2 linked regions of the Caenorhabditis elegans genome follow. The protein of the gene in region 1 interacts with the protein of each later gene in a biochemical or structural test. Each region holds a gene or a part of one and is shown on either strand. Other genes may lie near its edges.

Region 1 (4,839 bases):
GAAGGGGTGCTCTGAGATAGGATTAACATACATGTAAAAAAGAAGAAAAACAAAAAAGAAAAATCAATGTTATTACGGCGATGAAATCGAGGACTCACAATGAGATCAGATTATATCCTGGTGCCTGCCCTTTTGTCATGAATACCCTTATATGAACTTTTAATTATATTGATTCCAGGAACACAAGAGAGATGAGCATGGATATGTTTGCGCGATTTGTCACGAACGTCACGCGGAATACCCCGAGATGAAACATCACGTGTATGAAGAGCACGGAGGCTACCTGGCAGCAGATGAGCCGACAGGTATCACTGAAAAACGAATGACAGAATTTTTAAAATTGAATTTTAATTACAGCATACGTGGAGACTCCGCGGATGTGGATACTCTACAAAGGCGAGTGAAACTTCTTCATCATCACAGATCTTCATCAAAACTACCACACTTTCATTTGATACATTTTTTTTTCAATTTTTTGTTTGTTTTTGTTTCACTTCCCGATTATGTTAAAAAGGGTTTAATTTTGTCATTTAATGTTGATTGTACTATTACTGTAACACCTCTTACTTTTTTTCAGACCATGGACGTGTTTTAATGTTTTAATCTAGCGTGCTATCAATCATTCAACTTTATTCATGATATACACACAAATAAATCAGGTTACTATATGTAGATATTTTGAAATTTATGACATAGTTCACATTGAATTGCTGAACCTTTCGCTTTTTTGTTTTTTTTTTGCATTTTTGTTACCATGATAACTTACAGGAAATGCTCAGGTGGTAGGACGGTAGCAATCATGAGAAATACAAGTCCTGCCTCCCTTTAGGTTCCCACAACCTTAACGGAAAATATTGGCCACAGTCACTGGCTTGGACGTGGCTTAAAATAAAGCCTAGTGGGAGTACCACCGGGCAGTGTACTTGACTTTCAGATGCGCGGTGCATGGCGCTTCACGTGGTGTGTGGCTGTGCCATCAGGGTTTGATCTACAAAAAATGCGGGAATTTTTTGCCTTTAAAAATTTGACGAGAACTCTGCGTCTCACCTCCCGCATTTTTTGTAGATCTACATAAAGCAAACCAAAATGGGACAATCTAACACCACGTGGTGCTTGAAGAACGGATCAAACTTGAATCCTTCAATGTTTTTAATTTCAAGTATTTTTAATTGGAAAAGTTATAGTTCCATTGGCATTTTTTATTTTAGAGTCCTAACTATCAATCAACTTTTTTATAACATATACACATATAAGTCAAGTGACTATAATTTGAAATTTATTACAATGCTCATATACAAATGCTGAATGATTTTTATCATTATAAAAACTACGTGAATTAATTTGTTGGTGGTTTAAAAGTTTATTTTCTTGAACTTGCTCAAGCAGTGCGATCTCCGCCGCCCGGTTGAGCTCCTCAAGGCATTGTATGAGTCAGTGTGAGAGATCAGCAAGAAGCGACGAGAGTTCTTAACGGGACCCGGGCACGCGTGGAGAAAGAGAGAGACGCAAATCCGAGACATTGAGAAAAAGAGACAGTGGTCGCTGGACGGGTGCGTTTTTCCTGTGTATGTGTGTCTGTTTGTGTGTGTGTGCGTGTGTGCGGGCCCCCCGCTGCCTTAGTCCAAAGTGTGAGAGTGAGAGAGAGGATGGTGGGAGAAGATGGGAAAAAAGCGGCGCGGAAAATCGAGAAACACAGTGCGGGAAAGAAAGCGAATAGGAATTGTGTGCGAGCGCGCCATGGCGGTGAGCGTTATTGAGTGTATTGGAAGGCGAGCGTGAGAGAAGAAGAGACGCCGAGGCGGCGGCGGAGGCGGCGGCAATGAGCGTTAGTGAGTGAGTGGGTGAGTGAGAGCGTGTATGTATGTATATGTGCGTCTGGTGGTAAAACTCTATGCACTCTCTGTTTTAACTTACGACACTATCTTGTCGCATTCAGGCGCCGCCACACCAACACTGCAATGGCTGCGCCACGGCGGCGTATGGGCCTTGAAAAGGTGGGTGTTCTTCTCTCTGTTCCATTCTTTGTTCTCAATTTCCCTTCCCCACACACACAAAACACCCACACTTAATTGAATGGTGCCTAGTTAATTGACTTGTTCGGCGTGCGATTGCACTTTATTTTTTCTCCCCATTCATTTAAGGTCACACAATTTACATAAAATATGTATGTAAAAACATTGCGCAATCTACCGTGAGAAGGTGCGTTTTGTCGTTTTTGTTTCCCGCCATAGAACAGTCTTTTTCTGATTTTATCGTTTAATGCCCAAGCAAATTCCCACGCATCCGTTCGACAGTCGGCAATAAATCAACGAGCGCCGAGAGTTTAACGGCAGAACATAAAGATGGATGCTTGAGAGTTTTTCTTTTTTTTTCGTCCGACAAATTTTTGCACAGCATTTTTGACCGCTTTACGTCATGCAACGTTTTTAGCAAGAAGTTAAAAAAATAAAATAGATTAAAAGTGGAGTAGCGTCAGTTGTGAATTTAAAAAATTGCTATCTCACCACACCACAGTAATCAAATAACAGTTAAAAACATTTTTAAAAAAGTTGAATTTTATGATTTTTTGAAAATTGGAAAAAATCCCAGTTTTCGCCACTTTTTGGAAGTTGTCGATAAAAAAAGGTTTTTAACAAATTCTCCACTGGCGCTACTCCACCTTTAAAACAATGTTCCATAAAAAAACCTGCGTAGTTTTTTTTTTGGAAAAAAAATCATTACTTCCTTTCATGTTAGTTGGTTTCCGATGCGATTATGCAGTTGCATAAAAAATCTTTCCCACATTTTCTAAATTTAAGATTCTCCATTGCATTCGAATTACTATGGAAACAAAGTGCAGATAAACCGTAAAACGTAAAAAGTTTATTTTCTTAAAAATTCAAAATTTCCTTGACGAAGAGTGTTGCAATTTCGATTCTGCCAAAACACAACTTAAACCGATGTTATTGAACTTTCATTGATGGAAAATGTGGTAAAACAGCATATTACACAATCATTTCACGTAGCCAATTGATTTAATTCGAAGTGATAGTAGGACTGTTTGCATGATCAAAGTTTGACAAACTTGTATTCGAATAGATATTTTGCCTGACTAGCAACCCTTCAAATTGCGGTGGTGATGTTCATAATGATGGGAGAGAATGAGTCAAAATGTATTGTTGTCGATTATAATTGGATTTGGTTTTTTGTTCGTCAGTCTGCACGCGCTCCGCATATGGGGGTTAAGAGCAAAACGTGCGTCCGCCTGGTTGAACGATTCTCATTCACAAGAACAAATATTGCTAATATAGTGAATAGTGGAAAGTGTTTTGTACAGAAGGCGAAAAGAAGGAAAACAACTGAAACAGTACCATCATTATTATGTACAAAACAATTCGTTTCAGATAGGCCTGTATGATGTTGGTCGGGCAATTGGCAAAGGCAATTTTGCCACAGTTCGGATAGCGCGGCACAAGATTGCTAAGACTAAGGTTTGTCCGGTTTTATTTTTCAGGTTCAAAAAGTCATGAATCGTTTAGATATCATTGTAAAAGTTAAAAGAAAGGTTTTGAAACTTTACAGTTACAGTCAAAGATATGCTTGAAAGTTCATAAAAAACACTAAGCTTGTGAAAAAATCCCATTTTTTGAAAAGTTGTCAATTTGCATTAGACTTCAAGAAACTTCATTCTGATATAAATTTTTTTTTATCCAGTGCCGCTTTATTAATCTTAAAGTTTTTTATTGAGTGAGTATATAAATTCAAAAAAATTAGGTACTTGTGCAGAATACCTGGCCCAACATAATCAATCGTTTTGAACAATTTTAGAATTTTTTTCCGGAAATTTTTAACTATGAGACAATTTTTGAGCACTTTTTCGGTAGCTTCAAATTAATTAATAGCTATTTTCAGCTTAAAAAAATTTCTATATTTTATCACAAAGTTTAATGAAACAATATTTAGAGAGCATGCCACACTGGCTTTTTTTGTTGAATTTCCTATGTGCACTGTAAAATTCAAATACTCATTCCATGTACATTTCTGGAATGCTCACTCTTAATAATGCAGCAAAACATACAAATTGCAGGTGGCAATCAAGAGTATCGATGTGTCAGCGTTAGACCGAGAAAATCTGATAAAATTGGAACGAGAAGTGAAAATTGTAAAAGTGATCGATCACCCGCATATTGTTAAAAGTTATGAGGTGAGTTCATATTGTCAAATCCCTCATGTTATAGCTTTATTTTCAGATAATGAGGGTTGACAACATGTTGTACATTGTAAGCGAATACTGTAGCAGTGGAGAGTTATATGGTATAATTATGATGTGTATGGAAAAATTCGGCAAAGTTGTTTTTCCAGAGACACTGATAGAAAAGGGTCGGGTAGCGGAAAATGTTGCTCGGAAATGGTTTTCTGAAACTGCGTCCGCTGTTGCATATCTTCATTCGCAAGGAATTGTTCATCGAGATTTAAAAGCTGAAAACATTCTACTAGGCAAAAATTCGAACATTAAAATTATTGGTAAGAGATTATAGTTTGAAACCCACGAAAAGGAATGCTGAATTCTTATATTTTTTCAGATTTTGGGTTTTCAAATTTTCAAACCGGCGATCAACTTTTGAACACATGGTGCGGATCACCACCCTACGCCGCACCAGAATTGTTATTAGGTTTGTGAGAACTTTGCCATTTTTTCTCTTATTCCAAGCCAACGTTGCAGGTAACTCGTACGACGGCATGAAAGCTGATATCTGGTCCATGGGGGTGTTGCTATACATTCTCGTTGCCGGCGGATTTCCTTTCCCGAGTGATTCAGTGAACAAACTCAAGAGATCCGTTCTCTCTGGCCTGGTTAAG
Region 2 (4,685 bases), about 14 Mb from region 1:
ACGCAATCCAAAATCAGAATATTACGTTCAAATCGAAATATACCCTTTGAGGATTTTTTTCAAATGTTTTATCATAAACCATACATTTTGCAAGTAACTTTTCGTCGTGCCGATTTGTTTCTGATCTTTAGAAATTGATAATTTTAATGTTGATAAAAATTATATTTTACTTCTCTTCAAATCAGTTTCTGAAAACTAGAATCGAGAATTGATCGTTTCTTTTCACGGCGGATTCTGTGTCTCATTTCTCCAATTGGAATTGAATAGCTAACATAATGCGGACTCTTTCTCTGTCAGCATCAAAAAGTTTCTTTATATCTTCTCCTTTCTTTGGTCTTTCCCCCACTTTTTTTTCCGCAGCCCAATTCTCATTCCAACTTCTGATGTTGAATTTTGCATTGTGGTTGCTAGTTTCCAATTTTTACCTTTTTCTTGTTTTGCTAGAGTACATCTATGACGTACTTCGTCATAAATTACTGATGAGAGCTTCTGCGTCCGTTCAACACCTCCGCATTCCGGTGGTGAAATGAGATATTCTGCAAAAAGTAATTGAATATGAAATTTATAAACAATTAGGTTTTGAGGGGAAACTTTTGCTTCGGTTATTTGATTTCGGAAGGGGTAGACGATCTGTTCAAAGGTTTGTAAAATCATTGGACATTTTCGAGCAAAATTTAGAGTAAATCGGTGCATATTTTCTGAAAGTACAACAACCAAAAGTTCAAATTGATCTAACGGAGTATATAATTTGCTTTCACTGTTAGAGCTCAGTTTTTTTAACCAAAAATTACATTTCAAATGTTTATTTAGCGCCAAAGGATAATTCTGAACATTTTCAGTGCATCTTTCCAGTTTATTCGATTCCCTAAAAACCTGAAAAAAGTGACATTTTCCAAAAACAATTCAAATTAAATAAATTTATGCAAGTATTCAAAATGATTTTTATGTTTAGAAAACAATCATTTGTTGACGGTTTTTTGAAAAAAAACCATTTTTTAAAAGATTTGTTTCCTGTGTCCCACTAGAATGTTGAAAAAATAAGTTGTGTGATGAGCCAGAAAAGTAACAGAAGCTGAAGAGACCCCGACTTTTGCTCCTTTCCGACGACTCTTTTCATTTTTAAACTCTGTCGCGGGTGGTCTTTTCATCTTCCGAGGTAGCATTGTTTTGAAAACTTGCTTTAACACCATTTTTCTCCCATTCTTTTCACACCTTGCTCTGCACAAAACTCTTTGTTTTTTGTTTTTTTTTTGATTTTGGCTTGTTTCAGTCTTTGAGATTTTTATCTCTGTTCTAGTCTTCCATATGTGTAAAAAATATACAAACACAGAGGCTACGAGGCTATCAATAAATGATACCAGCTGTTATTATATCATTTCTTCTTGAAACCGGAGCTTCCTTTACACAATGCCGCAAATTCTTAGTTTCTACTTTCACACCTATCATGTTTTGAAAGGGCTTTTTTTGAAAATTGTTATACATAATAAATATTGCAACATCTCTCCTTCAAACATTTTAATTTTTTAATAACTTAACATACATTTATTTTTAATATAAGTGTATTGAACCTTCGAACATAAATTTTCAAACTAGAGTATATGCCAATTTATTTTCATAATTATATTCTGGCATCATCTATAACTCGGATCATTTTTAATATTGTTTCCATTTTTGCAGGCGTATGGAAGAAGCCAGCTCCTCAACGGGGAGCGCTGGTGGGGCTGGACCAAGTGTTCCCAACTTGCCATCAACATCAGAAGCTGCCATAGGACAGACGAATCTTGAGCCGGAAAGTATTGCTCTTCTTCAATCACAGCTTCAGGTGAGTCTATTTTTTTTATTGTATAACTTTCTAATCTGGATCTAACTTCTAGCATCAGTCAATTTTTGGCAAAAGTTTGTTATTTTTATTTAGCATCACAGTCTTTATTTTTAAGATTCATTTTTTGTAGATTCACCATAAATTCTATAAATGTTTTTTGAAAATTAAAAAAAATCAGAAATTGATTGGCTAGTTTTTGATTAAAAAAGTTGTGAAGAACTTGATAAACTTTGTTATTAAGTCTCTAAATAGTTGAAAATATTTTTTAAAAAACCTTGGCTAATATGACCGAATTGTTTTTTTTTTCAAAAAATAAAAGGAAAATAAAAAGAAATCTACATCCAATTAAACCGTTATCATCTTTAAAAACTGAAAAAAAATTTGTAATAAAATGAATGCGAATTTTCTAGATTTTTTGATGATTTTTTTTTGCAATTTTGAACAGAATAAAATAAAACTCGAACTTAGAGTTAGTATGTTTAGTTCACAGTAAAACAGCTGAAAATTTGGCAAACAATATTGCAAAAAAAAAACAACTAAATATTACCGGAAAATGCCTGATTTGCGCTAGGAATTTTAAACTAGTTAATTCATTCAAATAATTTTTTGCAAAATTGGAATCAAAAACTTTAAAAAATATATTAGGTCATTATGGCCCATTTTCTTAAATCTAAAAGAAAATCCCAATTGACTTTACCGTTAGCTTTGTATGTTCTACATAGCATCATAGCTCAAGTATTACGTATCGTTCCAAAATACATTCCCATCAGATGAGTGTATTTTCAGCTAGAAATAGTCCAATGACACACCCACTCTCTCTCTCTCTCTCTCATGCCTTTTTTTCTCTCTAAAAACGGGCGAAATGAAAGATAGGAGAAGAGGTTATTTCCGGATGTGTCGAAAATAGAAGCCTGGAAAACCTGACGATGTTGTTTGTCGGTGTTTATCGATGAGAAGAGGGGTACATCATGATGAAAGGAGAGAGAAAAAAGAAAAAAATGGAAGAGAAGGGGAAGGAAAAGCAAGAGCTTGAAAATAGTTACATTCTCTACTATTCTGCCTTTTTTCTATTTTTGTCTCCTGTTTTCCCATGTTTCTTGGAAATTTTTTTTCAGAAGGACACCTCTTTGAGTTTGTCGAATTTTAGATCGTTTCAAGGAAACAACTTGAAAAAATGCTCAAATCTCTTTTTTAATATAGATGTTGAATGAAAATTGAATACACGAAATATTTCACTATTTTTGAATTTAAAAAAATGCCTAACCAGTAGATAAAATAGCACTTTTCTTGACGGAAAATTTTCACTGAACTTGGGGGCTCAGATCTTAGAATTTTCATATTCTGCACAAAGTAAACAATATTGATTAATTTTTTTCATGTAAGTTCACAGTTTTTAAAAAAAGAATGTTTTGTACTTTATACTAACGTAGTGTCACAATTTTCCTATATTTTGAAATACTTTGTAGTTCAATGTCTCGTTCAATACTTCATAATAAATTCCTGTCTAGCCCCCTTCTTGGTTCTAGAATTTCAAAAATTCATCATCTTCTACGCACCTTCAAGCAGCCTTATTGCCATTTCAGAGATCAGTTCACGAGACGGCGAGACCAATTTCCGAAGAATTCTTTCCGTGTTGCGCAGAGCCGGTGAATTCCAAGTGAACTGGGACTCTGAGAAAGATCTCTTCATTTATATAAAACGCTGAAAAACACGAGTCCCGCGCTGGATTTTTTTTTCTAGCTAGCTATTTAATACTCGAAAATAGATTATTTTTTCGAATTTTGCCTTCAGTATCTTCCTTGTTAAGTATCATTAAACGGTACTTGTGTATTATATGCCTTTATCCCGAAGTTAAGTAAAATCTCAGTAAATTTCTCCAGTAATAGTTTTTTTAGTATTCTTCCTGTACCTAACACCCCTGCCCAGTAGCTCACCAAAACGTAAAACTACGTATTAATTTAATCTGATTCAATTTTGAAAGATACTATGTATCTACATACTATGACTAATCAAATTTCCAAATTTGATCGTTCAAACTCAACTTGACAGGTTTTTGATCAAGTAGACTAGACTCGCCTAATTAGTTTTTTTTTGTTGTGAAACCCGGTGTCTAGATATCATTTATCTAATGAACTTGATAACTCGTAGAGATAGAACAAGTTATTTTGGTGCAGTTTTTCATTGAAAAACTTCACAATAACGAAGGAATTCTGAAATGTTTTCAACAATTTAGGAAATTTCCACAATTTTGTAAACGAATTTTATTTTTGAAAAAATTTACAAATGTCGTTAAGGACTATTTTAAGTCTCTTCTAGCAATACTAACCTTATAAATTTGCCTGTCGATTGAACTTGACTATAGACTTTTTATGGATTACATTGAAGAGTAAACTATAATATTTTTTCTTTACTTCTTCCCCCGGCTCTCTCAGAATTTATCTATTTACAAAAAAGTTACATCTATACACTGACTTGACTCTAGTTTCCTTGTTTTCCAGCACCTCGTTTATATTTTTGTTTCTCGATAAAAGTGCATCGAACAAAAAACAAGATCTTTTGGCGACAAGTAATCCAAGTACTTCTGACCTCATTTAGCAGTGGTGACACTCATTTTTCTCGCCTCGTCAAAACATGATCGACCTCATGTGATAGAGGAAGCGATTTTGAGACATCAAGTAGCGGCAAAAAAAGCACATGCTTTTCGCCCCACTACTTTCTACTTTTTTTTTCTTCTTTCCGCTCCCAATTTTTTTCTTACTTCTTCTCATTCTCACACTCCAAAACACAAAGCTGATATCCCTCGACTTCTACACTACATATAAATGTTGTGTGTTTCCAACTCTCTCTCTATCTTCCTTTATCT

Evidence for each region. Proteins that work in one complex are often made in the same cells at the same time.
Region 2: of the proteins of kin-29 (region 1) and hda-4, one has a biochemical effect on the other in vitro, tested with the Caenorhabditis elegans proteins (one study listed by BioGRID).

What each region holds. Positions count from the first base shown.
Region 1 is NC_003284.9:2,849,507-2,854,345, reverse strand, and holds the start of kin-29 (Serine/threonine-protein kinase kin-29), read left to right. Parts: upstream 1-1,825; 5' UTR 1,826-1,958; coding exon 1,959-1,994; intron 1,995-3,383; coding exon 3,384-3,470; intron 3,471-4,066; coding exon 4,067-4,183; intron 4,184-4,229; coding exon 4,230-4,293; intron 4,294-4,341; coding exon 4,342-4,503; intron 4,504-4,562; coding exon 4,563-4,652; intron 4,653-4,702; coding exon 4,703-4,839. Other genes in the region: Zinc finger protein tra-4, read left to right, coding at 179-305, 358-404. UniProt on the Caenorhabditis elegans protein: Regulates chemoreceptor expression by phosphorylating the hda-4 class II histone deacetylase (HDAC) and inhibiting the gene repression functions of hda-4 and the mef-2 transcription factor, enabling the correct sensing and transduction of food signals.
Region 2 is NC_003284.9:16,727,882-16,732,566, forward strand, and holds the start of hda-4 (Histone deacetylase 4), read left to right. Parts: upstream 1-1,677; 5' UTR 1,678-1,681; coding exon 1,682-1,822; intron 1,823-2,686; exon of another isoform or gene 2,687-2,819; intron 2,820-4,685. UniProt on the Caenorhabditis elegans protein: Responsible for the deacetylation of lysine residues on the N-terminal part of the core histones (H2A, H2B, H3 and H4).